4 linked regions of the Pelodiscus sinensis genome follow. The protein of the gene in region 1 interacts with the protein of each later gene in a pairwise test. Links are inferred from orthologs where the notes say so. Each region holds a gene or a part of one and is shown in the gene's direction. Other genes may lie near its edges.

The links.
Region 2: the proteins of PTPN9 (region 1) and AGTRAP interact in binary tests that used the Homo sapiens proteins (3 or more experiments, as listed by UniProt). The two-hybrid records come from large-scale screens. The link is inferred for Pelodiscus sinensis from reciprocal best matches to the Homo sapiens genes PTPN9 and AGTRAP.
Region 3: the proteins of PTPN9 (region 1) and REEP6 interact in binary tests that used the Homo sapiens proteins (3 or more experiments, as listed by UniProt). The two-hybrid records come from large-scale screens. The link is inferred for Pelodiscus sinensis from reciprocal best matches to the Homo sapiens genes PTPN9 and REEP6.
Region 4: the proteins of PTPN9 (region 1) and MAL2 interact in binary tests that used the Homo sapiens proteins (3 or more experiments, as listed by UniProt). The two-hybrid records come from large-scale screens. The link is inferred for Pelodiscus sinensis from reciprocal best matches to the Homo sapiens genes PTPN9 and MAL2.

The regions. Positions count from the first base shown.
Region 1 is NC_134724.1:34,422,030-34,429,721, forward strand, and holds the start of PTPN9 (tyrosine-protein phosphatase non-receptor type 9), read left to right. Parts: upstream 1-4,682; 5' UTR 4,683-5,503; coding exon 5,504-5,536; intron 5,537-7,692. UniProt on the Homo sapiens protein: Protein-tyrosine phosphatase that could participate in the transfer of hydrophobic ligands or in functions of the Golgi apparatus.
Region 2 is NC_134733.1:8,001,267-8,008,709, forward strand, and holds the start of AGTRAP (type-1 angiotensin II receptor-associated protein), read left to right. Parts: upstream 1-4,421; 5' UTR 4,422-4,516; coding exon 4,517-4,543; intron 4,544-7,443. UniProt on the Homo sapiens protein: Appears to be a negative regulator of type-1 angiotensin II receptor-mediated signaling by regulating receptor internalization as well as mechanism of receptor desensitization such as phosphorylation.
Region 3 is NC_134729.1:17,444,765-17,451,767, reverse strand, and holds the start of REEP6 (receptor expression-enhancing protein 6), read left to right. Parts: upstream 1-3,988; 5' UTR 3,989-4,007; coding exon 4,008-4,122; intron 4,123-7,003. Other genes in the region: PCSK4 (proprotein convertase subtilisin/kexin type 4), read right to left, coding at 2,745-3,101. UniProt on the Homo sapiens protein: Required for correct function and survival of retinal photoreceptors. Required for retinal development.
Region 4 is NC_134712.1:22,505,288-22,512,188, reverse strand, and holds the start of MAL2 (protein MAL2), read left to right. Parts: upstream 1-3,887; 5' UTR 3,888-4,023; coding exon 4,024-4,155; intron 4,156-6,901. UniProt on the Homo sapiens protein: Member of the machinery of polarized transport. Required for the indirect transcytotic route at the step of the egress of the transcytosing cargo from perinuclear endosomes in order for it to travel to the apical surface via a raft-dependent pathway.

The DNA.
Region 1 (7,692 bases):
TTACCCTTCACGTCCCTTGCTAGCGCTAACTGCAATTCCAATTGCTTTCGCCTTCCTGATAACTCCCCTGCATTCTTGAGCAATATGTTTATATTCCTCCCTAGTCATCTTGTCCAAGTTTCCATTTTTTATAAGCTTCCTTTTTGTGTTTAAGCTCGCCAAGCATTTCCCTGGTAAGCCAATCTGGTCTCCTACCTTATTTGCTTTTCTTATTGAGCATCCGGATGGTTTCTTCCTGTGCCTTTAATAAGCCAGTTCTCCTGGACTCCTTTCCCCTTCATGTTAGCATCCCAGGGGATCCTGCCCATCAGTTCTCTGAGGGAGTCAAATTCTGCTCTTCTAAAATCCAGGGTGTATATTTTGTTGTTCTCCTTTCTTCCTTTGGTCAGGATCCTGAAATAGACCATCTCATGATCACTGCTGCCCAGATTGCAACCCACATCTACTTCCCCTACTAGTTCCTCCCTGTTTGTGAGCAGCAGGTCAAGCTGCGCATGGCCCCTGGTCAGTTTCTTCAGCACTTGTACCAGGAAGTTATCCCCAGCATTCTCCCAAAACTTCCTGGATTGTCTGTGTCTTGCTGTATTGGTCTCCCAACAGATGTCAGGGTGATTAAAGTCCCCCAGGAGAACCAGGGCCTGTGATCTGGAAGCTTCTCTCAGTTGTCTGAAGAAAGCCTTGTCTACCTCATCCACCTGATCCGGTGGAATATAGCAGACACCTACCACAACATCACCCCTGTTGCTTCTGTCTCTAAACTTAACCCATAGACTCTCAGGCTTTTCTTCCTCTATCTACTGGAGCTCTGAGCAATCATACTGCTCTCTTACATACAGTGCAACCCCTCCTCCTTTTCTCCCCCGCCTGTTCTTCCTGAACAGTTTATACCCTTCCATGGCGGTGCTCCAGTCATGTGAGTCATCCCACCAAGTCTCCATTATTCCAGTCAAATCACAGTTCTTTGACTGGGCCAGGGCTTCTAATTCTTTCTGTCTGTTTCCTATTCATGTAGATACCCTTAGATACACCTTAGATAACCAGTTGATTGCCCTACCTTCTCCATTTGAATCAGGGGTCCTCCTTTGTTGCTCCTTCCTCCGTGTTTCTTCCCCATATCCCACTTCCCCACAGGTTTGAACTCTTTATTATGTTATATTGACAGTTATGCTCAGTGAGGGATGGAGATGGTATGTTAGGGAGTAAGTGTTGTAAGACCTAAACCAGTGACAGGTTCATCTTGTAAAATGACAAATATTGCTGTAGCGCTCTGCAAATCTCAGATTTTGAAGTCAAAATTAAACTGCTTGGAGGAAATTGATGCAGGATTCCCCTTGGAAGCCTGGGCCCCTAATCAGGGCACTTTTCAGATGCAATAAAGCACTAATTTAATTAATCCTCCAGGAATCCAAATCTAAGCCTAAGCATCCTTGGCCTCTTGCTTCAGGGAAAGCTGCCGCTCTGGTTTCTGTCTGTATACTTCCTTCACAGAGCTTTCCAAGGCTGTCCAGCAAAGAGGGGAGTCAAATACAGTAGGAAGAAAGGGGCTTTTTCCTCTACTAGCAGGGGGAAACTGAAGCTTTCATTCTATATTGTAAAGGATCTCTTGCAGATACAGCTGCATGATTCTGCTTTAAAATATTAGCAGACTCCAGGAATAAATCTGAGCAGAAAATGAAAGGGGTGGGAGAGAAATTGTTAAGCAAAAGTGGCTGGCTGCAAAGCATTCTGGTTCCATAGCTCAGAGTTTTAGGGGCGATGCTGATCCTGGGGCGCACACCACCCTCCTGCAGCTCCTTGTATGCACAAGTGACATGTAAATCTCTGCCAGGAGCCTGCTGAGGCAGTACAAGCATATAGGTGGGGGCATAGGGATAGCTTGTAAGGACTCACTGCTAACCCCCAATAGAACAAAGTAGCTCAAACGTGGCCGGTGGTTTCTAGAGGTGTGGTCACCTTTAGTGTGGAGATATGGCCTATGCTCACAGCCCACCTCAAAGCCCCATAAGCCAGCTGGATTTTCAGCCTCCATGGAAAAGATAGAGATAGCTGCACTCTGCTCCATTTTCTTGCAAGTTAAATACAAACTCTCCAGTTGCAGGCAAGTTGCCAGGGCAGCCCTTGTCAGCAGAACAAAATGTTCCCCTCCTCCCCCCGCCACTGAGACTGGTTGGGATCCAGCTTTCTGAACCAGCAGGCCCTGCTGCAGTAACCAAACATGCTCCCAGAGGCAGTGTGCAGCACCTGTGGCCTGAAGAGCTCTGGATCAAAGCCCTGGGAGCATTTTTTAAAAACCCTGGAGCACCAGGTTGCTCCACTCCCCACTAGCAGCAGCTGCTGTTCAGCTGTGTCAGTGGAACCGCCCACCCAGACTTTGAAATGCCACTGGTAGAGGTGGAAGTAGAACTAGTTCATGGATACGGGGGAGTGGTGGTGAGCACCCATCCTTTCCCTGGAAATGGCACCTGAAACTTGTCTGGCTGACGTGGTGAAATGGTACGGAAAAAATTGCAGTTGCTGAGCTAGTTCACTACTGATCTGGTTCCGCTCCAAGGGAATCCATCATCTCGCTCTCGTTCTAGAGATGAATATTGTTTGTGCATAGCCGTGCGGCAGCACAGTGTAAGTGAACCAGCCAGGTGGATCTTTGCTTCTCTCCATCAAATAGAAATCAAATAGGTAAATTTTTCTTTTTATTTCATATATAACAACAGTGACCACTTCCCATCAGAACATGCTCCAGTGAGGGGGATGGTTTGAACTCTGACCACAGCTTTTATGGATCCTGGTCTGTCAGGGAATTGGCCAGGTGCATCTCTAGTGCCGGAGAGATCAGTGTAGTATACAGTATGAATTAAGGGCTACCGGTAGGCAAGGCACTGTACACTTAGAAGACAAGGCCCCTGCTCTGTGAAGTTGAACACCCAAGGCAGGTGTTATTTACTGGTACAGTCAGAGCTCACAGGAGCCTTAGTCATGGATTAGACTCCATTGTGCTAGGTGCTGTACAAACAGAACAAAAAGATGGTCCCTGCCTCCAAAGAGTTTACAAAGTAAGTAAAGATAATGGACCATGGGTGATAGAAAAGGGGAAGAGATAAATGTAAACAATGGGAAAGAACTAAAGCTAAGCTCTTATAAGCACAATACTTTTTAAGGATAAGATAGTTTATCTATTAGTATTGTCTCCATAATGACCAGACACCAGAGTGGGAGTTGATAGCAGTTGAATATAGTGGAAGCTCTCTGGGGCGGGGTGATCTCGCAGGGATGTGACACAGATCTCAGACTCTGGGCCATGTCAAATCTTGAACTGCTGTCATCTGCCCTAATCCTATCTCTATGGGAATGTATTGGAGTGCACAGCAAGGCATTCGAAAAAAGAAGACAGTACGTTTTGGAGGAGAATTTGGACATGAGGAAAACAGAAAGGGAGTTTTACTTTTAAAACTTTAGTTAAATCTAGATCGGATTACAGGAAACAGCCACAAAGCAGGGATCTGAAGTTGAGATCAAATGAGCCAGCTCTTTGGGCCCTGCATGAATTTTTCCTGATCAGCAGTTCTTTAGTTTCTCACGACATGACCTTCCATTCTCTCCTCCTCAAAAGGCACTTTTACACATCTGTTCAGCTCCTGGGGTGGCAGGAAAGGTGGGTGCTCTAGTGTAGATAAGGTTCCAGCAGCTGCTACCATTTTAACCACCCTGTCACATAGACTTGCTCTGGCTTAGTCAAAAAGGTACTTAAAATACCAGTGGCTACTGGACTGTTGTTTAACCCGCATAAGAACGGCCATACAGGGTCAGACCAAAGGTCCTTGTAGCCCAGTATCCTGTCTGTCGGCAGTGGCTAATGCTGAGACAGAGTTGCACAGGAGTAACAAGAGTGGGAATATCTTTATTAAAAAAGACTTGGGCAGAGAAGGGCAAGGAGACCTGTCAGCCCTACGCCAGTCGCCTCTGCTCCCCGGGGTTACTTGAAGAAAGCGTCTGTAATGGTAAGAGGTGCCAAATGTACCCCCCAGGCACACTTGTCTTTTGTTCTCTTCACTATAAATTCTTATCGTGCGCTCATCACTGAAGCATCCTGTTACAGTCCCCTCCTGCCCATCTTTGCTTGTTATCAGGGTCCCAGTCCTGCCACTGGATCCCCTCAGGAAGATCTTGCTGCCATTGACCTGCAAGGGCCCTGACTGTGTTCGTGGCCTTAGAATGCATGGGCTAGCTCTTGCAAACAGCTGTGCCCACAGTGCGCCAGGCACGTGACAACACATACAAGAACAAAGGTGGGGGGCAACCATGCTAGGTTTTTATCTAGCCATAATGTTCTGGGTAGACTTGGAGGTGTGGAAAGGATTCACGCCTCCACTGAATTACGGGAATTCGGGATCTAAGGGCCTGTTTGCAGGTACAGAACAGCAGGATGACTCTAATATTCTCTTAAACCGGGATGACTCAATATTTTCTGTTGGATGTGGCTGTCCCTCCCTTGTCTAGATTCCTCTTTCTTTCCCTTGTTTGCTGCCCTGCCTCTGTCTCCCTTGCCCTGGATAGTTTCCTGTTTCTCTCTCCTTCCTTTGGACGAATGCCTCTTTCAGCCTCCCCCCCCCCCCCCCCCCCTCGGCTTATGCAGAACTCTCTCCCTCCCTGGGTGAGAGCCCTCTCCCTGGCTGTCCTCTGCTGTTGTGAATGAGATTCAGTTTCTGAATGGAGTTGCTGGGGGCTCTGGCTGGCTCAGCAGGGGAAGCAGCATTGGCCATGAGAGGAGGGGGGGCGGGGTGTCTTTCCTTCCTTCCTCTCCGCTGCTTTTGAGGAATAAGGGCTGCGAGGCAGACAGGCGAGAGATGGAGGCTGCAGGAAGGAGTTTCATTCTCTAAAAGGAAAATACAGCTGAAGCCAGGGATTTGATGGTCTCAGGCGAACTCTGTGCAGGAAGCAAGGGCAGGGGGATCTTGCAAAGGCAGAGAAGAAAAACGGAGGCGGCTGAAGCCATAGCCGGGAGAGATTGCGAGCCGATCTGGGGGGGATGAAACTTCCAGGACAGCGGGGTGTTTCCCCCCCTTCTTGGGCGTGCGATTTTCTGTAGCCTGCAGAAAGCCGCGAGGGGGACCGGAGGGAGCCCGGAGTTTGCGAAGGAGCCAGAAGAATCGGGGCCGGTTCAGAGGGGACAAAACTGAACTTCCAAGTCACACCCGGCCTGCGGGGGCAGGGATCGCTCGGCCGCCTTGCCCCCTCCAAGCGTGTCGCTCGGCTGCGAGGGCGGCTAATGGGCGCTCGCCGGGCGCTCGGAAGCCGCGTCCCCAGTTGAGCGGGGCGTGTGCGGGGCCCCGGGCGGCGCGGGAGGCCGCTGCCCCGGCGGGGTGTGGGCAGGAGGAGCGGGGCAGGGGCCGGCTTGCGGGGCTGACTCAGGCTGGTCGATGGTTGGAAGCCCCGGTTTAAAAACTCCGCAGAAGCGAAGCAGCCGCCTCCGGAGCAGTGTGCAGGCGGGAGGAGCTGCGGCAGCAGGATGGCCGCAGAGCTGAGCCCGGAGGAGGAGCAGGTAACGCCGGGCCCCCCTCCCCCGGGCGCCCCACCGAGGGGCTGGCCGGTCTGAACTGGGGCCCAGGCAGGAAGGGGGGCGCCTCACACTGCCACCCACCCCCGGTGCTTCCTCCGGGGGCTCAGTGCAGAGGGGGCTTTGGGAGGAAGGGCTGGATCGGGGCCCCCTGCCCCCCATTTTCGTGATCTTCCCCCTTATTCTGCCCCCCGCCTTGAACTGGGGGCGCTCCCGGCCCCTCCGATTGGGAAGGGCCATTGGGGGACCCCCTAGAGCCTGGCCTCTTCTCCTTTCCGGGGGGGCCGCCGCGGCGCTGGGCCATTATCCCGGAGAAATGGGGGGTCACCTCGATGCGGAGCGGGCAGGAGATGGGCTGGGGGCGCTGCGGCCTAGTCTCCGGCTGGGCCCCATAGGGACCCCCCCCGCGCGCCCGCCCCATCGGGCTCCCCGCAGGGGGCGCAGCCCCGCCCCGAACGAACAGCTGGGGGGAATCACCTCCCTTGTTCCGGTGTCAGCCGCCGCCCCGGGGCCTGAGGCAGAAACAGGCGGGACGCCCCGCGGAGCACGGAGCGTGCAAGGGACATGGGGGGCTAGCCCCCCTTCCTCCCCGGCAGGAGCTGCCATAGGAGGTTTCAACCCCCAACCACATGTGGGGGCCTCAGTCTCGAGCCCGGCGGGGGGGCAGGCCTGGGGTGTTCCTGAGGTCTCACATCTGCGCCCCTTTGCCCCCCCCCCCCAGTCATCGCGGCCCTTTTTATTTTTCCGAGTGGGGCGGTGACGTGACACTGAAGATTGTGCAGTGAAGTCCCCCGTGTTCCTTCCCGAAATGATCTAGGGAGCGAGGCGGGCGGGCGAAAACAGTCCCCCCCGCCCCCCAGTCTGCGTGACCCTAGCTGCTCCTGGGCCTGCTGCTCATCAGCAGGCTCTGCCTCCTGTCCCCATCAGCTCCCGAGAGATCTCGGAGAGCAGCTTGTGCTCAGGGGACCGCTGGTATCTCTTCCTGGACCTGCTTCCGTGTGTGACCTTGGGAGGGAGTGGCTTTGCCTTTGGGCCTCAGTTTCCCCATCCAGGAAATGGGGCTGTCCACCTTGCCGTGAGTGCTGTGCACCTTACTGGACACTCCTGACATGTGCCCTGCTATCCCCCCACAAAATGTGCAGTGGAAGTAGGAGGAGATAACCGGGATTATCCCCTCCCCCATTTTAAACTGCAGCCACCCTCTTTTCCTGTTTTGCCCTCTTCATTTCGCTCTCGCCAAGGCTGGATTTTAAGATTTGTTGCTTCCCACGCCCCATTCCTCCCTGTGACGTTCACATCTTCTTGTCACTGGGTTGCGTCACTGCAGGAGGATGTTGCATACTTATAAATATAGGGACTGCTGTGAATTTTATCAGGGGTTGGGGGAGTGTTAACCTCATCCTGGTTATGGAGCGGAAAGCTGGTGTGTATGGCTCAGGCTGCTGATTCAAGCCAGCCCTGATTTTCCCATGCCCCTGTGCTCTTTAAAGATGAGAACTCTTTTATAGTCTGTAGCATTAACTCTTCTGTGCCCGCAGCTGCTTCCTGCAGGGCCTGGCTCTCTCCCCTTCCCTTCTCTCCTGTCCTTGTCCCCACTCGTCTCTGCTACCCTCATGGACTCACAGCAACGCCTCCCTTTCTGCCCAGGCTTAGACTGGTGTCCTCTGAGCAGTCCAGAGTAGTCCTCGGTCTGGCCAAGAAAAGTATCTGCTGATTTTGGGGAAGGCAACTGCAGCGTCTGTTATAGACAGGCTGATTCTGCTTGATTTGGAGCTGTAAAACATCCATGGCTCCACCAGGTTCTGGTTTCAGTGCAAATAAAGCGAGGTGAGCTCCGGACAAGCAGACTCCTGTGCTGAGTCCCACTGAAGTCAAGTCCCTGGGTCTGCATAGGCATTCATTGCAGAACCACTGGTCATTACAATATCAAGTCACCCTTAACAGCTGGCTTCTGTGTGAGATCAGGGTAAAACGTGACTGCTAGGTTTTAAACAGTCAGAAAAGGGGGCCTGGATTTTTTTTTTTTAAGAAAGATATTCTTTGCTTTATATTTTCAACGTGTCTTTAATAAATCAATCCTCCAAACACCCCTGTGAAGTGTGAATTATGATCACCATTTTACAGCTAGGGAAACTGAGGCA
Region 2 (7,443 bases), on another chromosome or scaffold:
GGAGAAGGGATTCTGCCAGACCAGGGGAGGTCATTTCTGCCTCCTCCCCTGGCTGCCAGCCCCATCCTGCCCCAGCCTTCCTCCCCTTCCGGCTTCTTGGATCCCCCCGCAGCCAAGTTGAGCTTCCTTGGGCAAGTCACTTGAACCAAAATACAGAGTGGGAACTGAGCCATTTTATATCTGCCACAAAAGTGAAACTAAGCCTACTGGCACAAGACTGTCTGGTCAGCCCTGGAGAATCTATAGCTGCAGGAAGCAGGAGGAAGTTGTATGGTAGGAAAGTGACTAAGTGAGACTGAGGAAGTCATAGCTGTTCAATCATTTCATTTCTCCACAGTACACTACTACACTTACAACTACAAGCCCTGAGCTAGGCCTGCAACCACAGTTTCCTTCTCTCAACTGTGAGAGAGACAAGAAAGAATAATGAAGGTACCGTTAAAGGGAGAATACAAGCTCTCCATCTCTTTCCCTGTGTATGTGTGAAGCAAAGGTGATTGTGCGACTGCGTATCTTTAAAAGTCTCAGAGAGGTGGCCGTGTTAGTTTGTAACTTTAAAAAACGAGTCATCCTGTAGCACCTTAGAGGCTAACAAAAAGATATGAGCTCTGCTCATCTGAAGAAGTGGGTTTTGCTCACAAAAGCTCGTGTTACCATGTCTATATATTTGCTAGTCTCTAAGATGCTAAAGGACTACTCATTGCATATCTTTATACACCTTTAACAGCTGCAGCTCCCTTGGTTTTCCCATCTATCTTCTGCTGTCTGGGATTCCCTTTTTCCCCCTAACAGTGACTCTCTGTCTGCGTGCTTGTCTCTGACCTTGCGGGGTTCCTGCTGAGTGACTCAGCATGATAAGGAAACAAAGGAAAAGGACAAGAGAAGATACGTTCTCTGAACTAGTCCAGACTGAAGACAGAGAGACTCAGTCCTGGGGGGAATGTAAGCAGAGAGAGAGGCAAAAAGACCAACAGGATCAAGAGCGGTACGACCTCATTCAGAAGGACTTAAACCACAAAGCCAGTTGCTAGAGCACATTAAAGAGCAAACGCTAAAGCCTGGCACTTCAGCAGCCATTTGGCAACATGGAGAATGACTCCTTCTGGCTAGGGCCGTAGGCTTCATCCTTGAGGCTCCCAACCGCCCAGCAGCAGTGTCCCTGGCCTTCCATGTGATAGGACAATAATAACAACTGCTCTGAATGCACCTCCTGCCTGCTCTGATGCAGCTGTGTGCAGCCAGCTCGTACACTAGTTCTTTACAAATGGGCTGTGTCTACACTGGGCCACTTATTCCGGAAAAGCAGCCGCTTTTCCGGAATAAGCTGCAAGCTGTCTACACTGGCCCCCTGAATTTCCGGAAAAGCACTGACGATCTACTGTAAGAAATCAGCTGCTTTTCTGGAAAAACTATGCTGCTCCCGCTCGGGCAAAAGTCCTTTTTCCGGAAAACTGTTCCAGAAAAGGGCCAGTGTAGACAGCCCAGTAGTCTTTTCCGCAAAAAAGCCCCGATCGCGAAAATGACGGTCGGGGCTTTTTTCCGGAAAAGCGCATCTACATTGGCCACGGACGCTTTTCCGGAAAAAGGGCTTTTCCGGAAAAGCATCCTGCCAATGTAGATGCTCTTTTTCCGGAAATACTTATAACGGAAAACTGTTCTGTTTTAAGCATTTCCGGAAAAGGGTGCCAGTGTAGACGTAGCCATGAAGTTTAAGAAAAGTTCTAGTTTGTGAAAAGCCAGCTGTATTTTCCCTGTCTTATGAGACAGAAGGGAAAAACACCCCTCTCCCTAAAAACAATTGATTGTCCTTATATATATATACATGCCTCTGTAAACTCCACTCCAATTCATCTGATGAAGTGGGTTTTACCCACGAAAGCTTATACCCTAATACATCTCTTAGTCTCAAAGGCTAGTTCTATACTAGACCTAGAAGGTCAACTTAAGGTACATAACTCCAGGTATGTAAATAATGTAGCTGGAGCTGACACCTCAATCCAAATTTGGCACTGTGTCTCCACAGTGGGAGGCTGACAGGAACAAATGCTCCCATCAGCATCCCTTATTCCTCACAAATCAAGGAGTACCAGCACCAATCCGGGGGTGCCCTCAATGTTCGATTTGGTGGGTCCTTACTAGACCTGCTAAATCAAATGCCAGAAGATCCATTTCCAGCGTGGCAAGTGGAGATGTGGCCTCAGGTGCCACAAGACTCCTCTTTGCCTTTACACTATGTACACTAACACAAAGTAACACACTGCCTGGGAAATGCACACTGTCAAAGGGCGCTTTGGAGCAGGAATATTTCCCTCATGGTGATTTAGCCTTGACATGAGACATCTGCCCTTCAAAGGACACTCCACAGCCATCCTGCACTGGCTCAGGGGATGGTTAAATCTTTCCTTGCTTTTCTCCAGGTTGCCAATGATTGGAGTAAAGTGTCAGGGAAGCAAAGAATAGGTTGTGTCGCCAAGAATCACAGCTGGCATTGCAATGTCATTAATGTCAACAGGACAGTCGGGGAAAAGAGTCCCTGCTTTCAGGTTTTCAAAAAGTCTTGAATTCCTAAAGATGGGAGCATCCAGGACGTTCCCTGACCAGCCAACATTAAATGTCAGTAAATCACCTACCGTGATGCTTGCATGATGAAGTACCCCTTTCTGTTTATGCACTCAGCAGCAAAACAAGGGGTAGGGATGTTAAATTTAGATTAACTGGCTAATCGAATTGTTGATGCAAGTTGCATCGACTATTTGTTTAGTCGATAAGGGTGTCTCCACCTTTGAAGTGTAGCAACAGCCCTAGGGGCCAGCAGGGGACTCAAGCAGCTGACCCCGGGCTCCACACGGCATTGCTGCTTTGAAATGCCACGTGCAGCCTTGGGAAGTCCATCAAATCAAATCCATCTAGTATTTCTTGGAGGCTGCCTGGCCTGACAAGCCCCCACAGCAGGACACTCTTAATGGCTTTGAACACCTGGGTGGCCACTGCCTCCACCACAGATTTTCCAGCACCAAACTGGCTGTTCACCAACTGAGAGCAATCCAGCATTGCAACCTGCAGATAGTGATTGGCGGCACCTGTTTCTCTACTGTCCATGCGGTTCTTAGTCTCTGTAGGGTTGGGGTGAGCTCCGCACACAGTTCCAGGCATGTGGCCTTCTGCAGCTGAATGTCCCACAGCCACTTTTGGTGCTCTCAGATTTGTATCACACTCCAGCCTCATCACTGTTTGGACCCAAACCATCTCTCTAGGTGCCATCACTCAGTGAAAGCCTGCAACAGGTGCTCAGCTTCATCCTCTGTCTCCCTGCTGAATGTCCGGCTGCTATGGTAGACCTTGAAATGGACAAAACAGCTGCATTGATCAGCGCAGGATTCAGGTTTCTGGTAGCGAGAAGGGAAAACAGTGTGAAGGAGCAGATTATGAAATGGGAGAGATTTCTGGAAATTTCTTCCCAGACTTCCACAGTTCCCTGGGAGGAGTGATGCTACCCCACAGTACTTGGCCACAGCCCCATAGCACACTGCTGAAACTAATTTGGGGCGTGGCTGGAACACTTTGGGACTTTTTAAAGCAGTGACAGTGCAAGAATCAATGTCCTCAACTCCCAGGGCAGGCTAGTCACTGATGAGAAGTGGTATTTCTGGAGGTCAAAAGGATTTATCACCCTTTCCTGTGGGGCTGTAAGAACTGAGGCAGCAATGGAGGGATGTGCAGTGACATTAAAAACACCCTGACCCTTTAGCAGCTTCCAAAGAGGCCTGGCCTCAGGGAAGACATTTTTGCATGCTTGCTTTTAAACAATAACATTTGCACCTGCAAAAATCTTTCACGGTCACGGCTGATTTGCAGCCAAGGGGGTGAGAACTGGGAGCACTAGCAGCCAGAGGAAGAAGGGGCAGTGCAGAAAACGCAGTCGGGTTGCACACCCTACCTGCCTGGATACCAACCGCCCCTGTGGAATACTGACCAGCATCTGAGGTGGTGTGGCAGGTCGCCAGCTAGGGCATGATGGCCTGCTCCCTCACCAGGGGCTACACACCCTCTTACTGAGTTCACAGGGGAGTGGGAACAATTTGTACAGGGGCAGTGCTGAGAGTCATGGAATCAAACTGTACACCCTACAATGGGGACTATCCTGGGAACTACTTGAAGGGGGGCAGTAGCACCCCATCTCCAGCGCCCTGCTGCCGCCCCCCCTCAATGCCGCTTCGGGGGGGGGGCTATCCAGCTTCTTGGGTCAATTCCCCGCTCCCCTCTCTGGGGGTGTCTGTGTCTTTCTCCCTCTTCAGCGCTGGGCTGGCCGCTCTCGGGCTGGGTGGGCGTCTCTGTGCAGCCCTGGCTTGGGGGAGCCCCCGAGGAGGGACGCGGGGGGCAGAGCCAGCCCGGCGCCGGCGGCCGCGTCCCGCCCCCGCCCGGCCCCACGTGAGGCGCTTCCCGCACAGTCACGGGGGCAGGGCGGGGCGGTGGAAAGTTGGGAAGCGGCCGGGACAGGCGGGGGCGCCCCGCGAGCATGGAGGTGCCCGCTGTGAACCTCAAGGTACCGGGGCGGCGGGCCGGGGCTGAGCGACCCGCAGAGGGCGGCCAGGCAGCGGGCGGAGGGGCGCAGGGCTAATGGGGGGGGGGCCGAGCCCTGGCAGGTGGGTCCCGCGGGGCTGCAGCTTCAAGACCGCCCTGCCCGCTGGGCAGCCCCTCGGGCACCGGCCCGCTGCAAGGCAGAGGTCTCGAACCCCCGGCTGGTGGGAGAAGAATGGGGGGGGGGGCAGAACCGCCCCCCCGGCTGGTGGGAGAAGAATGGGGGGGGCCCAGAACCGCCCCCCGGCTGGTGGGAGAAGAATGGGGGGGCCCTAGAGCCGCCCCCCCGGCTGGTGGGAGAAGAATGGGGGGGCAGAACCGCCCCCCGGCTGGTGGGAGAAGAATGGGGGGGGCAGAACCGCCCCCCGGCTGGTGGGAGAAGAATGGGGGGGCCCTAGAGCCGCCCCCCGGCTGGTGGGAGAAGAATGGGGGGGCCCTAGAGCCGCCCCCCGGCTGGTGGGAGAAGAATGGGGGGGCACAGAACCGCCCTTAATTGTTCAAGAGCCGCATGTGGCTGACCAGCTGCAGTTTGGCCACCCCGGACTCGCGGCACCCGGTCTCCCCCGCGCCTCCCCGCAGCCCCCCGCGCCCGCACACCGGGGCGCAGAACACGCCCCCGGGCCCTTTGGGGCAGCGCTGGGTCTTTCACGTCCACCCAGCCGCCGCCCCCTGGCCGGGCTCTGCTTCCTCGGGAGGGGTCCTGCGGCGCTTCAAAGCGGGAGAGCCTGCCGGAGCCGTGAGCGGCACGTGGGAGTGAAGCCGGGGAACAGGCATTCTCCAAACCGAGGTCCACACTGTCCCCCTCGGAATGGACTTTTCTCTTAGTCGACAGAACCGTCGTTGAAAAGGCGCTTTAAGAATATTTCATTGGTGTGTCGCTGGAGGTGAGAAGTATTTGTACAGTGGGGGTGCTGTAAACAATCGCTCACCCCTCCTGCCCTGGGGTAGAGGGCCCATAAACCCTAAGGATGGCCCTGCCTGTTCTGTTCTAGGGCAGTGGGTGAGCCCGGGTCGCCCTTTAACTGGGATCCAAACTCTGTATTTTTTTAACATAAGAGGCAGCTGGAGCTGCAGACTCAAACCTGAAGGTCTTTGTCTTCCAGTAGGGTTGTATCCTCAGCTAGCATGGCTGAGACCCCCAGCTGTAAGCCCATGGGCCCAGTGTAGTGTGGATACTCAAGCCCTAGCTTGGAAATACCAAGTCCACACAGCTGGGGTTTACAGTGCAGTTTACAATAGACTTACTGTCAGGATAACCCCAACAGATGAAAACACATCAGATTGGAGGGTGGTTTTTATTTTGACAATGGCTCGGTAAAGGTTCCATGACTCTTGCTGTTGGTCAGGCCTTTGCCCAGGGGTCAAAATTCCCCCTCTGCTACAGGCTGTGCATGATCCTCACTGTGCACTCCAGAGAGCTGTATTCACATGGTGCAGTGTGACTGATACAGCTCTCCCTGATGCGCTGGAGGTACAAGATGTTTATTGGCTGTTGGTTTTATCAAATATAGTGACTTATTCTCATCTCAGGATGTTACCCATACAAAATTCTCTGTTGTTCACACATTCTAGGACAGGGATGGGTAATCTTAGGCCTGGGGGCCGGATGTGGCCCCCAGCTTGCTTGAATCTGGCCCCTGAGGCTTAGGGTGCCCTCCTGCAGGGAGCCTGTGCTGGCACTCCAGCCCCCTGCTACCCCCCATGGGGATGGAGCATCCAAAATCTACTAGGCTGGACCCCCAGAGGCTGTGGTATGCAAGGGGCATGTGGGAGAATATCTTTCTCTCAGTTGGGTGCCACATCAATGAGGGTATTTTGTGTGTGGCTCCCGACTGATTTTTCTGTGGGTCAGTGGCACCCACCCCAAAAAGTTTCCCCTCCCCTGCTCTAGGAGCACCCACCCTCACCCATTTATAGGGCTCAGGTATAACCTTTTCAATAGGCACCCACCCTCTTCCTTCTGTGGGCTCAGGTGTAACCTTACACTCTGTGGGTTTGTGGGGTCTTTTATCAGGGAATGAGCTTTACACGGTAATATCCTACTTAATCTCTCTGTATTAATCACTATCAAAGCCAGCATGCACATGCTAGCATACAGTGCTCACCGCTCCCAGTAAGTCAGATGAACTTGTCTTGATAGCCAGTCAGGTTCAGGTCCAGCTCGGGGACTCCAATTTCTGCACAGTGTTATTGGCACAGGGTCTGGCAGCTCTGATTTTGGAGCTGTGTCCTGGATTTGGCTTCCAAAAAATTCTCTTTTGGGCCCCAGTTTATATAGTGAAACTTGAGTCCTGCTTAGCTAGACTGTCATCAATTATTTTACTAAAATGTTACTAATCAGTCCTAACATACTGTAACAGAATTACCTAACTAACCATACCCCACCACTTCAATTGATATATACCTAGCAAAATTAATTACACAGCAGACTGAAACAATTAAAAACCACAGAGAGTTAGCTGTGTTGGTCTGTAACTTTAAAAACAATGAATAGTCCTGTAGCACCTTAGAGACTAAAAAATGATATATAGTACCATGAGCTTTCATGGGCAAAGTCTACTTCTTCAGATGAGATCTCATCTGAAGAAGTGTGTTTGCCCATGAAAGCTCATGATAATATATATATGTATAAAACCAGAGACAGAGATCATACAAACAAACAATAGAAAAGTGAGGATCATAATCATACAATGAGGATTCCATAATCCCACCTAAAGAGTTTCTTGATACATGAGATGCTATCAAACTAAGTTTTCTTTACCCATCTTGAGATCTGTTTCTTTATCTGGCGTTATTGGTTGTCATTAGGGCTATGTCTAGACTGCACGCCTTTTTCGACAGAGGCTTTGTCGACAGATACTGTCG
Region 3 (7,003 bases), on another chromosome or scaffold:
CTGTTTTGGCACAGCTAAATCAGAGCTTAAGGTTTGAAAACTAGAAGAAAACATTACTGGAAACCAAATGGACCTTAGTCCATTTTTGTCAAAATATAGTGAAGGATAAAGAATTTACAGGGTGAAGAAAAAAATATACACTTGATGCAATTCTCATTTAAAAAAATATACTAAAAATTAAATGGAAAAATGTTAATCCCTTTTTTAAGAAATCTGAATTAACTCCATAAAACACTGTATTTTTAAAAGTACAATCATTTAAATAAAACATGTGCATTTTCTTTGTATTTTAACAAAAAAAAACCACCCTTAATTGAGTTAAGGACCATGGCTTTATTTTTTTATCTGGCCCATTGCATTAGCAATTTCATTTCTACCTTTGCCTGTATGATTTTAGAATTTGTTTCAGAGTAATTGAGAGCTAATGGAGATCAAGCTGCCAACCGCTAGCTCACTGGGGTGGGTCCATCCATTTTCCATTTTACTCAATCACAGGGCACTACGTGAAACCACGGTGAGTGTAGAATGGAATTTTGTTCTCCCCAAAGGACAGGCTCCCGGCCCTGAAAACACCATCCGTAGGGAGCTGGTTTCACAACTAATTAGCAAAAGCTGTCTTTTAAAGCGAACAAAGCAAGACAAGGATCTGCACAGCCTTTTAAATATTTGATGAGGCCATTTGGCTGCTGCAGCAGAAAGCTAGGAAAAGGTACAGAGGTAGAGCTGATAAAGGGGCAATCCTTGTAACGTCAGATTACAAGCCCAGATTCTCTGTTTAAGAGATTAAAAGGTTTTGTGGCAAGTTTCAGCTCAAAACTAGATTATCCATGCAACTAAGTTACCCTGAAGACAGGCCTACACAATAGTAACAGCAAATGGTTGTTACTTAGCAAAGCATTACATGGATAATGGTTAGGTGGGTGACTGAAATATTACCTGGTCACAGTCATACTGTGGAGAAAAAAAACAAAAACAAAACAAGGAAGGGGGCAAACCGATGTTCAACTATCCAGACTCAAGGCGAATGGAAAGAAGGGAGTGATCGCAGGGTCTTCTGAAATAGCGCAATGTAGAACACCTAGTACTGTATAAAGGACAGTTAGAAATCCTAGAGTGAATTCAGAGAGTGACTTGAGAGGAATCAAAAAGAAGGGGCAAAAGAGGAGAATGGGATTTGGAAAGAAGTCAGAATAAGGTGACATTGAATTGGTGGGACATCTAGCACCAGCATGCCTCCTGCCTAGGGTTTTATGAAGAGGGCAAGCCATTGTGTGATCAAAAAAAGCTCCGTGGAGGATGGCTAAAGTGTCGGCAAATCAAGGTGGAGCTTGTTTTGGTACAACCGAAGGTTGAACGACAAGGTGGGGAGGGGAGGCCATTTGTAACCAAACTGCTGGTTTTCAAAGCCTAAAATGGGTTATACAGACAGAGAAGGTGAATTGGATCTCTTGGTTGACAGCCCGTGGCCAGAGGATGGTGGCTGTGGGACATTTAGAACTAACAAGAGATAAAGCTTTCTTTCAGGTACCTGTCCACTGGCAGCTGGCTTCGTGTTAGCTCATGTAACTGCATGCTTTTCAGGACAGTAGCTGTCATTTACTAGATGTTTGTACAGCACCTAGCACAACAGGGCCCCAAATCTCAATCTAGGGACTAAAACACTTAAATCTAAATAAAAAGGTGCAGAGAATGCATCCAGAGAGACCAGGGACCAGTGAAGACGGCCATGGACTGCAGTGTTTGAAAAAGCAAGAATTCCGTTATTATTACATGATTAAAAGTTTCAGGGACATGTTTTCATTAGTCTTGGATTTTTTTGGTAAAAGCACCTCTTTTTTTAAACCAAAACTTAATTATGGAGCCAATCAAACTTGTTTTCCCTCTTCAATTGCCACTCACTGCAAATCCCCCGGTGGCAGAGAACACGCTCAACGTCCGTGGTATTTTAAACAACCTTGCTGTCTAGAGCTTCTCTTTAAAGATGCATTTGCCTCGGTTGTCAAAGCTGTATGCTTTTAGCTGGAGCTACCGCATGAGGGGGAATTGGTAATGATGCTAGTATGCCCTCATCTAAAATAAAAATAGATCCGGATAAAAGCGCCTCAGATACAGACGTGAGAGAGAAAACGGAGAGGGAGGGAAGGAAAATGGATACAGAAGAGACAAGCTAGGCAGGAGGAAAAGATTGCCACATCAAATGGCACCAATGCAGGGGTGGCTGGAAGCCTCCTACTTAGTCCTGTGGCCTGCACTGTAATTTCACGGCTGGTATAGTCAACTGGAATGGCCAGCCAGAGAGCTCAGACGTCTGCAGCAGGGCAGCCTTTCATCAGGCAGCTCCCTGGCTCTCTCCAGCAGATTTTCCATCAGGGGAACAAACGTCGGGGTGTTTTTCGGGGGACGGGGGTGCATCCCTCATCGGGGTGTTTTTCGGGGGACGGGGGTGCATCCCTCTGCAAGCCCCCGCTCTTATAAACACCCTTCTTTCTCTTCCACCCCCCCCCCATTTCTTGGGGAGGGCCTGTGGAAGAGGAATTCAGGGGGAAGGCGGGGGGGGGGAGATTTGGGGGGCAGCCTCTCTAGGAAAGGGGGTGCTGGGGGGGGACACAGGAGCCTGGAATAGTGGGGAGAAAAGGGCTGCTCCCTCTCCAGCTGCTGGGGCTGGGGGGGGGGACTTGCAGACTGCCCCCCCACACTCCTCCCAACTACCCCCCGCCCCGGGCAAGTAGCCCCCCCGCCCTCACCTGCCCCAGGCAGAGCAGCCCGTGCTTGCGGGCCAGGCGCTCGGCCTCCCGGGCCCCCGCGGGCACCTGCACCGCCCAGCTGCTCAGGTAGACGGTGAGCCCGCCCCGGCAGCAGGAGGCACCGGCCAGCAGCAGCGAGAGCCGGAGCCAGGCCGCCGCCCCCGCCATGGCTCCGACCGGGGGGGGGGAGCAAACGTGGGGCTGCCCCCTAAAAGGGGCCCTTAAATACCCCCCCGCCCGGGATCTGCGGCCTAGCGCTCCGCCTGAAGCCGGGGCCTCGATTTTGCCTCTTTCCCGGGCACGGGCAGGGCTGCTGGGGCTGCCCCGCGCCACGTGTTCACACCCCGGGGTCGCCATAGCAACCGCAAGCCGCAGGAGCCGGGGAACGACCCCGTCGGCTCACCAACAAACTACAACTCCCAGGGGGCTTTGCGAGTAGGGAGGGGTGTTCCTTGGCTAGACGGCCTTCTGGGAGTTGTAGTTTTTTTTTTAAAGCTCCAGGCGCGTGTGAGTGTTTCCTCCTGCCCTGGGCTGGTGCGTGCCTGGCTGGAGCTTTTCCTTTTGCAGCAGCCATTGTGTAAATGTGTATTATTTAATTGAATCCAGGTAGCACCTGGGGCTCTCCAGTTATTGCTCAGGCCCCGCTGTGCAAGGTGCTGTATAAATGCACAACTAAAAGCCAGTCCCTGCCCCTAGGAGCTTACAGTGTAAATCAGTGTGTGCACCCCAGCCCCTTTGTTCGGCTCTTCCCTCTGCTTGTTTGCCTTCGTTCCCGCCAGCTCGGGGCCCTCTCCTCTGCCCCCTCTCCTCCCCCCTCTTGCCCCTGCCCCTCCCTTTGCCTCTGATTCCCCCTTCCCCTTCTTTTCTTCTGCCCCCAAACCATCTCCCCCCTCTTGCCCCTGCCCCTCCCTTTGCTTTGCTCCGCTCTTCCCTTCCCCCCTCCTGCCCCATCTCCTCCCCCTCCTGCCCCTGCCCCCTCCCTTTGCTTTGCTCAACTCCGCTCTTCCCCCCCCTCCTGCCCCTCCCCCTCCCTCTCCCTCTCCCTCTCCCTTTGCCTCTGATCCCCCCCCCCGCCTGCCCCTTGCCCCCGCTGCCCCTCCCCTGCTCTGACCACGCCTGCCCTCACCTGTCCCCTGTGACGTGCCCGCCCGGCTCCCACCTGGCCGCGCCCCGCTCCCGCATTGGCCCGGCGCGGGGGGCGGACCGGCCGCTAAGCCGAGAGCGAGCAGCAGCAGCCGGCGGCCGGAGCCGGAGCGTGCAGCCATGGGCTCCCTGCGGCAGCGCTTCCAGACCTTCCTGCACCAGCCCGGCCTGCTCGCCGACCTGCTGGGCTGGCTGGAAACCCAGACCGGCGTCCAGCGCTACTACCTAGCCACAGGTGGGAGCCCTGGGGCGGCCCCAAGGACACCCCCTTCCTGCAGAGCCGGGCTGCTTCCTTCCCCGGGGAGGGCACTTTATCCGGCAGCCCCCCCCCTTTTCCCTGAGTCCCCTAGTCCCGGGGGGCTCCCCTCTTTCCGAGGGGACTCAGCACAGCTACCCCCCTTGCTCACAACACCCCCTTCCCTTTCTCCAAGGGCCCCCCTTCCCCTGGGATTCCCTTCCTAATGCACCCCTCCTTGACCCCCCCATTTCAACCCCCTTCTGCTGGGATTCCCTTCCTAATGCACCCCTCCTTGACCCCCCCCATTTCAACCCCCTTCCCTCTGGGATTCCCTTCCTAATGTTCCCCTCCTTGACCCCTCCCCCCTGCCTCATTTCAACCCCCTTCCCTCTGGGATTCCCTTCCTAATGCACCCCTCCTTGACCCCCCCCCCATTTCAACCCCCTTCCCGCTGGGATTCCCTTCCTAATGCACCCCTCCTTGACCCCCCCCCATTTCAACCCCCTTCCCGCTGGGATTCCCTTCCTAATGCACCCCTCCCTTGCAGCCCCTTCCCCCAAACCCTGGGGAGCAGTACTTTGAGGTGACCTTTCCCAGCAGGTGCCTCCAGATCTGTCCCATAAAAGACCTCGGCTTGGCTGAGTTTGTTTCAGGGGAAGCCCTGGATGGTGGAACCCTCAAAAAGGAAAAGTCTCTTGCCTTGGGCTGAACGCCCCCTCCCCCCCACTTCTCCTGGTCTCTGCCCAGGTGTGGCCTGTTCTGCCGCACCTTACTGCTTCTGGGTGTGGGGATATGTGCCCTGGAGCACAGGGGGCAGATGCTTGGCTGGAGGATGGTGACCCCTTTTCAGACAAGTATTTAAGGGGATCATGGACGTTGTCAGTGTGTGTCCTGCTTAGAGTTCAATCCAAACTTTGTTAGGGAATGGGGGGAGGTTGTCTCTCACTTCTGCCTCCTGTGGGGTTTCTTGCTCCTTCCTCTGAAGCAACTAGTCCTGGATGGATGGTCCTTGGGTCTGATCCAGGCCAGCAGCGCTTACAGACCCTGTGTGTGCACCTGGTAACAGCACAACATTGCTAATGTAGCTGTTTGGGCTGAGCTGCCTCGGTGCTTCCACCTACACGTTTTGTGCTTTTCTGACGGATGCTAGCAACTCGGTAGAAAGTTCAGGATTTGCCCCAGGCCTCTCCGGGATCGACCAGTATCTCTGCCTGGTGGAATGGAAGTGCAGAGCGATCTAGTAGTGAATAATATGCCCACTGGCAGGAAACCTGTGGCAGAACCAGGACCAGAAACTGGCACCCTGACTCCCGTTCCCCTCTTCTGTCAGGCCGTTTTTAAACATTTACTGCAGCTGATCAGGGTGGATTGATTTAAATAGAGGCGATTTAAATAATTTGATTTTAATCACAGTTTAAATCACCCCCCCCCCCCAAAAAAAATAATCGCCAGTTACCGTCAAAGCTAAGCTAGACTGTGCTTAGAGGGCACTTAATTTTGGAAGAGGCCCCACTGAACAAACTTTCATTTCTTGTTTTCTCAAAAAAACAAGAACAATATAGAATGGGGTTCCCTTTAAAAAACGGAGTTATGCTGAAGTAAAATAAAGAATAGATTTATGACATCACCATTATGGACTGTGGCCATGAGGTTGCAAAAGAAGGGATATTATACAGTAGAATACAGTATTATATATACCATACAATAGTATATTATGTAATATAAAACAAAAAATGACACTCCGTGTCAATAGGCAACTCTAAATTTCTCTTACTGCAGCTTTCTGTGCTGTATACTTGGGTGATAGATTCTAAACCTAGTTAACTAATTCAACAAGCCATAAGGATTAGCTAAGCTAAACTTTTTTTTTTCTAGCAACACTCAACACAGCAAACAGCTTGGGAATTTACTAGTCAAATCGCTTTAAAAGGGGGAGAGAGATTCTTGAAGAACAATTGGATTGGTCCTGCTTTGGGCAGGGGGCTGGACTCGACCACCTGAGGTCTCTTCCAGCCCTAGGATTCTATGAACGATGCATTGCAAAGTGAATTATTTAAGTTACTAACCCGTTGATCCACTCAGTCAGATCCACATCGCTTTCTTCCCAGCAAGCAGTTTTCTTTGTTTCATTCTTGCAAGTAGGCCCTGCATTATCATCCTGCATGGACTGCTTATCCGTCACGTTTTCCTTTTTTACCCAGGGAATGAATTTCTTCAAACTATTCCCAGAGAGAATCTCTCTTGTGCCCAGAAACCAGGACGGTTTTTCTGTGGCACCAGTGTGGAGGGTATAGAAAGCTGTGCGTGAGTGTGTGTGTGCTCTGAATAACATCTTCTCTCTTTCTTTTCAGTTCACTGTTCTCTTCTAGGCTGCCTCCGTCCTTTTCTATATATTGCGATTCTGTCTTTATAAGCGACTCTCTTAACTAACTCCTCTGCTGTGCGTGGCCACAAAAAACAAGCCCGTTCAGGATGCGTCTGACTTTGCACATGTCGCTTTGTCGTCTGCTGAGAAACCGAAATGGAAAGCCCAGAACTTTCAAGAAGCAGGAGCTGGTGGTTAGGCTGGACAGGCTAGGTCCATTCATTCATTTTTAAGAGACTTTTTAAGCATCCGGGTAGCATTTCTGTGATGGGATTTAATTGTAACTGTTTTTAAATGGGAAATGGAGTATTTTACTGATCTCTTTTTTTATCTGAATTTTTTTTTTAAATCGTTGATTTTTATCAACCCTGATGCTCATGCTAGGAATCCAAATTCCCAGCTCGCAGGCACTCCAAATGTCAGGTCACAAGAACTAATGTGACATGGCTGGGGGTGCTCTAATCACTAGACAGCACTCTCCTCTCAGTCACAGTCCTTTCTGGCCTTGAAATC
Region 4 (6,901 bases), on another chromosome or scaffold:
GCTCACTATTCCGACATCCCTGTAAGCCTCAAGTTAGTGATGTTTCAGAATAGTGTTTTATTTTGAAATTTGGCTCTGTGTAGATGATGCCAAATGACAAAATAAGCTATTCCAAAATAGCATCGAAATATCTTATTTCGAGTTACGGTGCAGTGTAGACACACCCTATATAGTGTTCCTGGGGCAAACTGTCCAGTAACTTAAACAGAGATTAGTTCCAAAATATGCTAGACTCCTAGATCCTTCCAGACCACACAACATTTATTTCCATAAACCTGCCGTGATGGCAGAGGTGAAAGTAAGCCAGTGCAGCACACCAGTAAGAGACTGTTGGCCACAGCACACACAGGCATGAGCTCCAGGGCTTGGGCTGCATGGTCCCCAGCTAGCCACAGTGCTCGGGCAACAGGGCCCCCAGTGCCCCAGGGATCCAGCAGTCACGCAATACAGTGGCTGCACTCCCAGCCCTGAACTCCCAAACACATCCCCAACCTCATCCTGAGGCTCTCTCACACACACACACCATCCCCTACCCTGACTCCTGCACACCTACACCTGCCATAAGCCCCTTATCCCTACCTTGACTCCTGCACTCACCAGCCCTTGTCCTTGCCCTCATTGTTGGCTGCAGCTACAGCACTTTAATGCTAGCTGTGTATGGACTGGTACTGGCAGCCACTTCTCGCTGGTATGCTGTATTAGCTGTCACCTCTGCCCAAATTCAATGGGAGTTCTGAGTTGCATTATGACAGAGTGGGATATTTGGTATCAGAGTGTAGACTCCATTTTGTGTTGCTTAATGAACACATCTAAACTGGCCCATGGCATCTTCTCATATTGCACTTTAGACAGTGCCTGTTTAGGAAAGATGCTTGACGCCTCATTGAAAGATGATCCTGATGCTTGGTCTACACTACACAGTCTGGTCCATGTGGAAATGTCATCACTTAAATTTGCCTCTTGTCAACATAAGTGACTCTCTATGCCAGTTTAGTAACACCATCTTCCCTACATCTTCACTACAATTGATACAAGTCCTTCTAGTGAGGACATGCACAACCAACACAATGGACCAGATGGGCACACACAAATGCAATTTCATATCTGTGGTAGCAATATATCAACAAAATTTTGTAGTGTGGAGATATGGCCTGAGAAAGCATCAAGAGAGCAATTGATGACCACTAGCTCTATTCTCTCTCCATTCCCTGTCCTATGGAACAATGAACTTCCCACATTGGAATGCACAGGCAGGCCTGCTGACAGCAATTCCAGGCCCCAGGGCAGAACAGTCAATGGGCCCCACACTTACACAAACTATGCCTGCACAAACATGGACTGCCTGACACCTGGGCACTGCTGTGCCTGCACAAGCTGGTGCCGCACCTGCATTGACTGGTGACCAACGAGCTGCTAGCTACACTGCTGGGTGCACTCTTTCAGCATGATCAGCTCTTCCACCTGCCCACATGGTAGGGTTGCACACTGTGCAATTGTGCAACTTCAAAGACCCTTGCCCCACCCTTGCCCTTCTCCTGATGCCACATTCCTGTCTTACTCATTGTCTGAATCCCTTCCCCCGGCTCACTCTATCCCCCCTTCCCTCCATCACTTTCTTTTCCCCACCCTCATTCACTTTCATCAGGCTGGGGCAGAGGGAGGGAGTATGGGCTCTGGGAGGGAGTTTGAGTGCAGAGTATAGTCTGTAGGCTGGGACAGGGGGTTGGGTGCAGCTCCTATTGACCAAGCTGTCCAGCCAATAGGAGCTGCAGAGATGGGGTGGAAGCAACACATAGCAACTCCATCCCCAGGGGCCATGGGAATGTGCCAGCTGCTTCTGGAGTGGCATTGAGTCAGGGTAGGAAGGAAATCTGCCTGAATGTGGACAACAAGAAAAAAAATTGTTTATATGTGAAAAGTGAAATTGTTTCAATAAAATGAAATGGGAAAATAAAGTTTATTATAAATGGTGTGATAACTGCAGATGTTTCCAGATGTATTTCAGGCTACAAGTCTGATCTCTCATTAGCAACATTTTCATCTATTGGAACTCAAGTGACATTTTTTTGTCCTGCTATACTTTTCTAAACTTGGATGTTACTAAAGTATGTATACAATTTTATTGTACTTTGTATGGGAAACACACTGCATGTTATAAAGTAAAGAAATCTAAAGAAAGTCTCTGCCTTTAATGTTGACACCTCATTGTTTCTTCATAAATCTTGTGATACTTGATGTTTTTCTTAAAAACTTCAACTCGAAGAGTCATGGGATTGCACTACAGTCTCAGTTTTGGTTTGATGACTTTTTAAAAAGTAGACTTCTAAGCATTTGCAGTTGCAGAGATAAGGCTTGAATCCCTGAATCCTAAAGTCTCTGTAACTAGAAGGTAAATAAAAAGAATCCCAAATTATTTTTAAATCTCATGATTTTGGCAGCCTGACCCATGAGCTTTGAATGCTGGGATTTGGCAATACCATTAGTCATTCAAAGCATTCTGACATTTATTAAAGAAAGAACATCCTTCAAACTGGAAGCTAGAGTCGCTATTTTTTGACACCACCATAAGCCATAGGTTTATAAAACTAGGTTTTTATTTCAACCCTAAAATATTCATTACAACATTAACACTATTAACACCTCCATGGGAATATAATCATGCATCTGAGCTGGAATGTATTGAGTGCTAGTTTATCATTAACTAGCAGCAGGTTAAAAAAGAAAAATAAGAACAATTAGGTTTATGAATCCTGATGTCAGTCTTGCTGCACATATTAAAGCCACACCCCCTGTACTAAATAGCCTTGCCAAGAGAAAAAAAACTACCAGAGCATGAAAAGCTAGAAAGAAGCTACAAAGCAGATGAAAGCCAGCATCTGGATCTGAAGAATCAAGGTCTTGCTTTTTAAAAATCTGACATTTGTGAGGCATCACATTTTGGTTGAACAACCATATCCACACCAGGAACAAAACTATTTGGTTCCTTTGAAAATGAGGGATCAAAAGCCCCCAGGGAGAAAGGACTAGTCAGGATCCTACACAGATATACAGTATAAACTGGGAGAAGTGCAAATCAGAGAGGCCTAATCAGCCTCCTTATCTGCTTCTTCTGCAGAAAGATAACAAACCTGCATCATACCAATGGGACACACATTCTCTGTATGTGCTCTGTATCTGAACACCCACTGAGAGATTGAAAAGTAAAGGTGGATTTGGAGTGCTCCAGAGGTGGGAAGTGGGTAGGAGTATGGTTTGCAGATAGGGTCTAGGTGCAGACTAGTGTTCCCTGTAAGCTGTGCACCTGCACAAATGCTCAGGGGAGATGCCAATGCTGCTCAGCTGACTTTACAGCTAGGTTTGTGTTTCTCCTGGTGGCACACAACAAACATTTATTCCACACACGGATGGAAACGATTAGAGGAAACCCTCTGGCATGATTCCCTACACAGACTGTCTCCTTCAATTCCCCAATCCAGGGTGTTCCCAAATCCCAACCCCGGGCGAGTTCCCCACAGTACCACAGCCCCAAGAGACTCCCAATTCAGGGCCAGTCTCATGAATACCAGGGACTGTGGGGGACTAGCCCTGGGCTGGGATTCGGGAACACGCCAAGGGGGTGGTGGGCAAATGTTTGGCTCTGAGCTAGAACCAAAGCTGGGACTACAGCTGGAGCCAAAAGCCAGGCGGCTCTCAGCGAAGGCAACAGGAAACTCATCCTCTCCCTCTAGCGCTGTGGCCTAAGGGTCGCTACATGGGGCAGTGACCCGAACTCAGCAGGTGTGTGGGTCACACTGGGTCCACCCAGTGGCCACGAGAAGGGGGTTTGCTCGGCTGCAGCCCACGGAACCGGGGCCGTCGCCGCCCGGCGCTTGCGGGGCGGGGCGGCGCAGGGGCCGGGCCGGCGGCTGGGTGTTGCCCACACGCTTCCTGCACCTGCTCTGGGCGCCGCTGAGCCGCCCCTTCCCCCGCCCCCAACCTGCGGCCACGTCAGGGCCAGCCGGGCTCGGCTCACTCCGCGCCAGCATGTCGGCCAGGGGGGGCTCCATGCCGCCGCCCCCCAACCCCACCGCCTACTTCCCCGCGCCCCGGGTCACGCTGCCCGCGGGCTTGGACATCCTGCGCACCTACTCGGGCGCCTTCATCTGCCTGGAGATCGTGAGTGGCAGGGCTGGGGGCTGCTCGGGGTGGGCTGGCTGGGATCCCCCGCTCGCTCCCCTTCCTTCTCCCGCCTTGCGTCCCCGCGCCCAGCACTTGTTGCGCCGAGCCCAGGGCGCCGCGCCGGGCTAGGAGCGTGCAGTGCCCCGCGCCGCACGGCCGGTGTGGTGCATGCAGACCCGGGGCTGCAGGCTGAGGTGCGGGGCGTGCCGGAGCAGGCGGCACCGCAGCCCTGCCACCGTCCCCGCTGCTAACCTGCCATTTTGTAGGTGGGAGAGGTGCAGCAGCCGCCCCTGGAGCGGCTTGTGGCGGCGGCATCAGGAGGTTCTGCTCCGGGAGCCCGGAGAGCCAGAGCGGGCCTCTGTTCCCCAAAGGAGGACCCGGCCCGGAGACCTGGAGCATTGAACTTTATGCGCCGGGGATACGGGTATAGCAACAGGCTGGGGGGGATGTAGGTGGGGATGGGGGGAGGAGGCTCAGTGGGAGCCCTTCCCCATGCCTCCATCTTGCCTAATCCTTGTTTTCCTGCCTCAAAGCTTCCCCAGAAGGGGGATCATGACCAACATACAACTGTGCTGAAATAACACTGTTCTGATTGCCACTCAGTGGTTGTCATAGCTGCCTCTTGGCAGCCGTTTTATTTTCGGAGGGGTGGGGGAAAGAACACTTGGCCTGTATTATGGAGTGAGTTTGTTTTATATCGAGAAGATCTTGATCCTCACAAATTTAGATCAGATTCAGAAGTCCGAGGTAGTAAAACTGTACGGAGTGTGTGTGTGGTTTTTTGTCTTGAGGGCCCCTCAAACTCTAGCATGGATATTTAACCTCGCTGGCATTGAAAGAGTTTGCAGAATCACTATCGTGATTAGAGATTACAGGTCAGAGGTGATGAAATGCTGGCCCCATTGAAGTGAATAGCAAAATTCCCATTGATTTCAATCTGTCCGGGATTTCACCCACAATGCATTTTTTCTTAGTCACAGATTTGAATACTGTCTTAGACTCCAATCTTCAAATGGATCCCTATAGGTGTGCCTGCCCCTCCCCATGGGGCCTTGATTTTTGTTCAATATGGCCTTCACCCTGGTCCAAGAATCTGCTGGGGTGGATCCAGTTGCAGGACTGGAATCCACATCAATAGTCACCAAAAAGTTAACTTATTGATGGATTTGCCAGCCTGTGTAACCTGGGCTGACTTTCCTAGTCTAGTCCAGGCTTTCTCTGATATGGTGCCTGAGTACAATCATAGTTACTGATTACTTCAGTTAGTAATCTTGCTACCAGTCTCAGCAGTGGGATGTTGGAAAAAAAAGTTGTGCTGTTACAATCCATTAAATGTCTTTTCTCTGGATATTTTGAGCCTAAATATGGAGAGAACCTGTTTCCTCACAACAAATACAACCTGAAGAGAAGCCCTTGAAATTAATTTGAAGACTGATAATACTAATCCACATGGGAATACTGAGTGCAGGGAGACGACAGTGCACTTTTACATAATCAGCTTCATTTTATCCACACATTGCTATACTGTATACCAAAGAAGACCTACATACTCTTAACTGCAGGCAACATCTCCTGAAAATAGAGTCTGAGGTTCTAGATTTAGAAGAAACTGGGCAAGCATTATTTTGAAGTTGTAGTTCTCGCAGTCTGAAATGTTTTTCTTCTACTTCATACCTTGAGAGCTGGAAGGAGGAACTGGAAATGGCAATTCAATATAAATGTGAACACTGCTCAGTTCTATTTCAATCAAGTTAAGGCTTTCTTTATTAAAGGAACAAGCTTCAAGAAAGCAAGCATCACTTTTATAGAGATCTGTGTTTGTGATTGAAATAATTGAGAAGATCGGTGTGCTGCAACTTAAATTTTTAGGACTAAATTCTGCTCCTAATTACATAGATCTTAATATGAAATTAATTTGGCTTATATACTTCATTATCTGATGTTCATGACTCAACAGCTTACCATAGCTTTGCTGGTCTTCTATATTTTACTTTTGTTTGTTGCCTTTTACTCTTTTGGCCATAAACATTAAATTCTGTTTATACATTTACAATTATTTCATATCTGTGTCTGCTGGAAGATTACAAAGCTATATATGAGTACAAGATTTAGATTTCAATCTCATTTACATCTTTGACATACCAGTTGCAACAGATACATATGTATTTATATTTTAGGATAAATGAATTTTTATAATCTTTTCATTAATCATAGAATCATAGAATAATAGGACTGGAAGGGACCTCAAGAGGTCATCGAGTCCAGCCCCCCGCCCTCAAGGCAGGACCAAGCTCCGTCTACACCATCCCTGACAGATGTCTATCTAACCTGTTCTTAAATATCTCCAGAGAGGGAGATTCCACCACCTCCCTTGGCAATTTATTCCAATATTTGACCGCCCTGACAGTTAGGAATTTTTTCCTAATATCCAATCTAAACCTCCCCTGCTGCACTTTAAGCCCATTACTCCTTGTCCTGTCCTCAGAAACCAAGAGGAACAAATTTTCTCCTTCCTCCTTGTGACACCCCTTTAGATATTTGAAAACCGCTATCATGTCCCCCCTTAATCTTCTTTTTTCCAAACTAAACAAGCCCAGTTCATGAAGCCTGGCTTCATAGGTCATGTTCTCTAAACCTTTAATCATTCTTGTCGCTCTTCTCTGTACCCTTTCCAATTTCTCCACATCTTTCTTGAAATGTGGCGCCCAGAACTGGACACAGTACTCCAGCTGAGGCCTAGCTA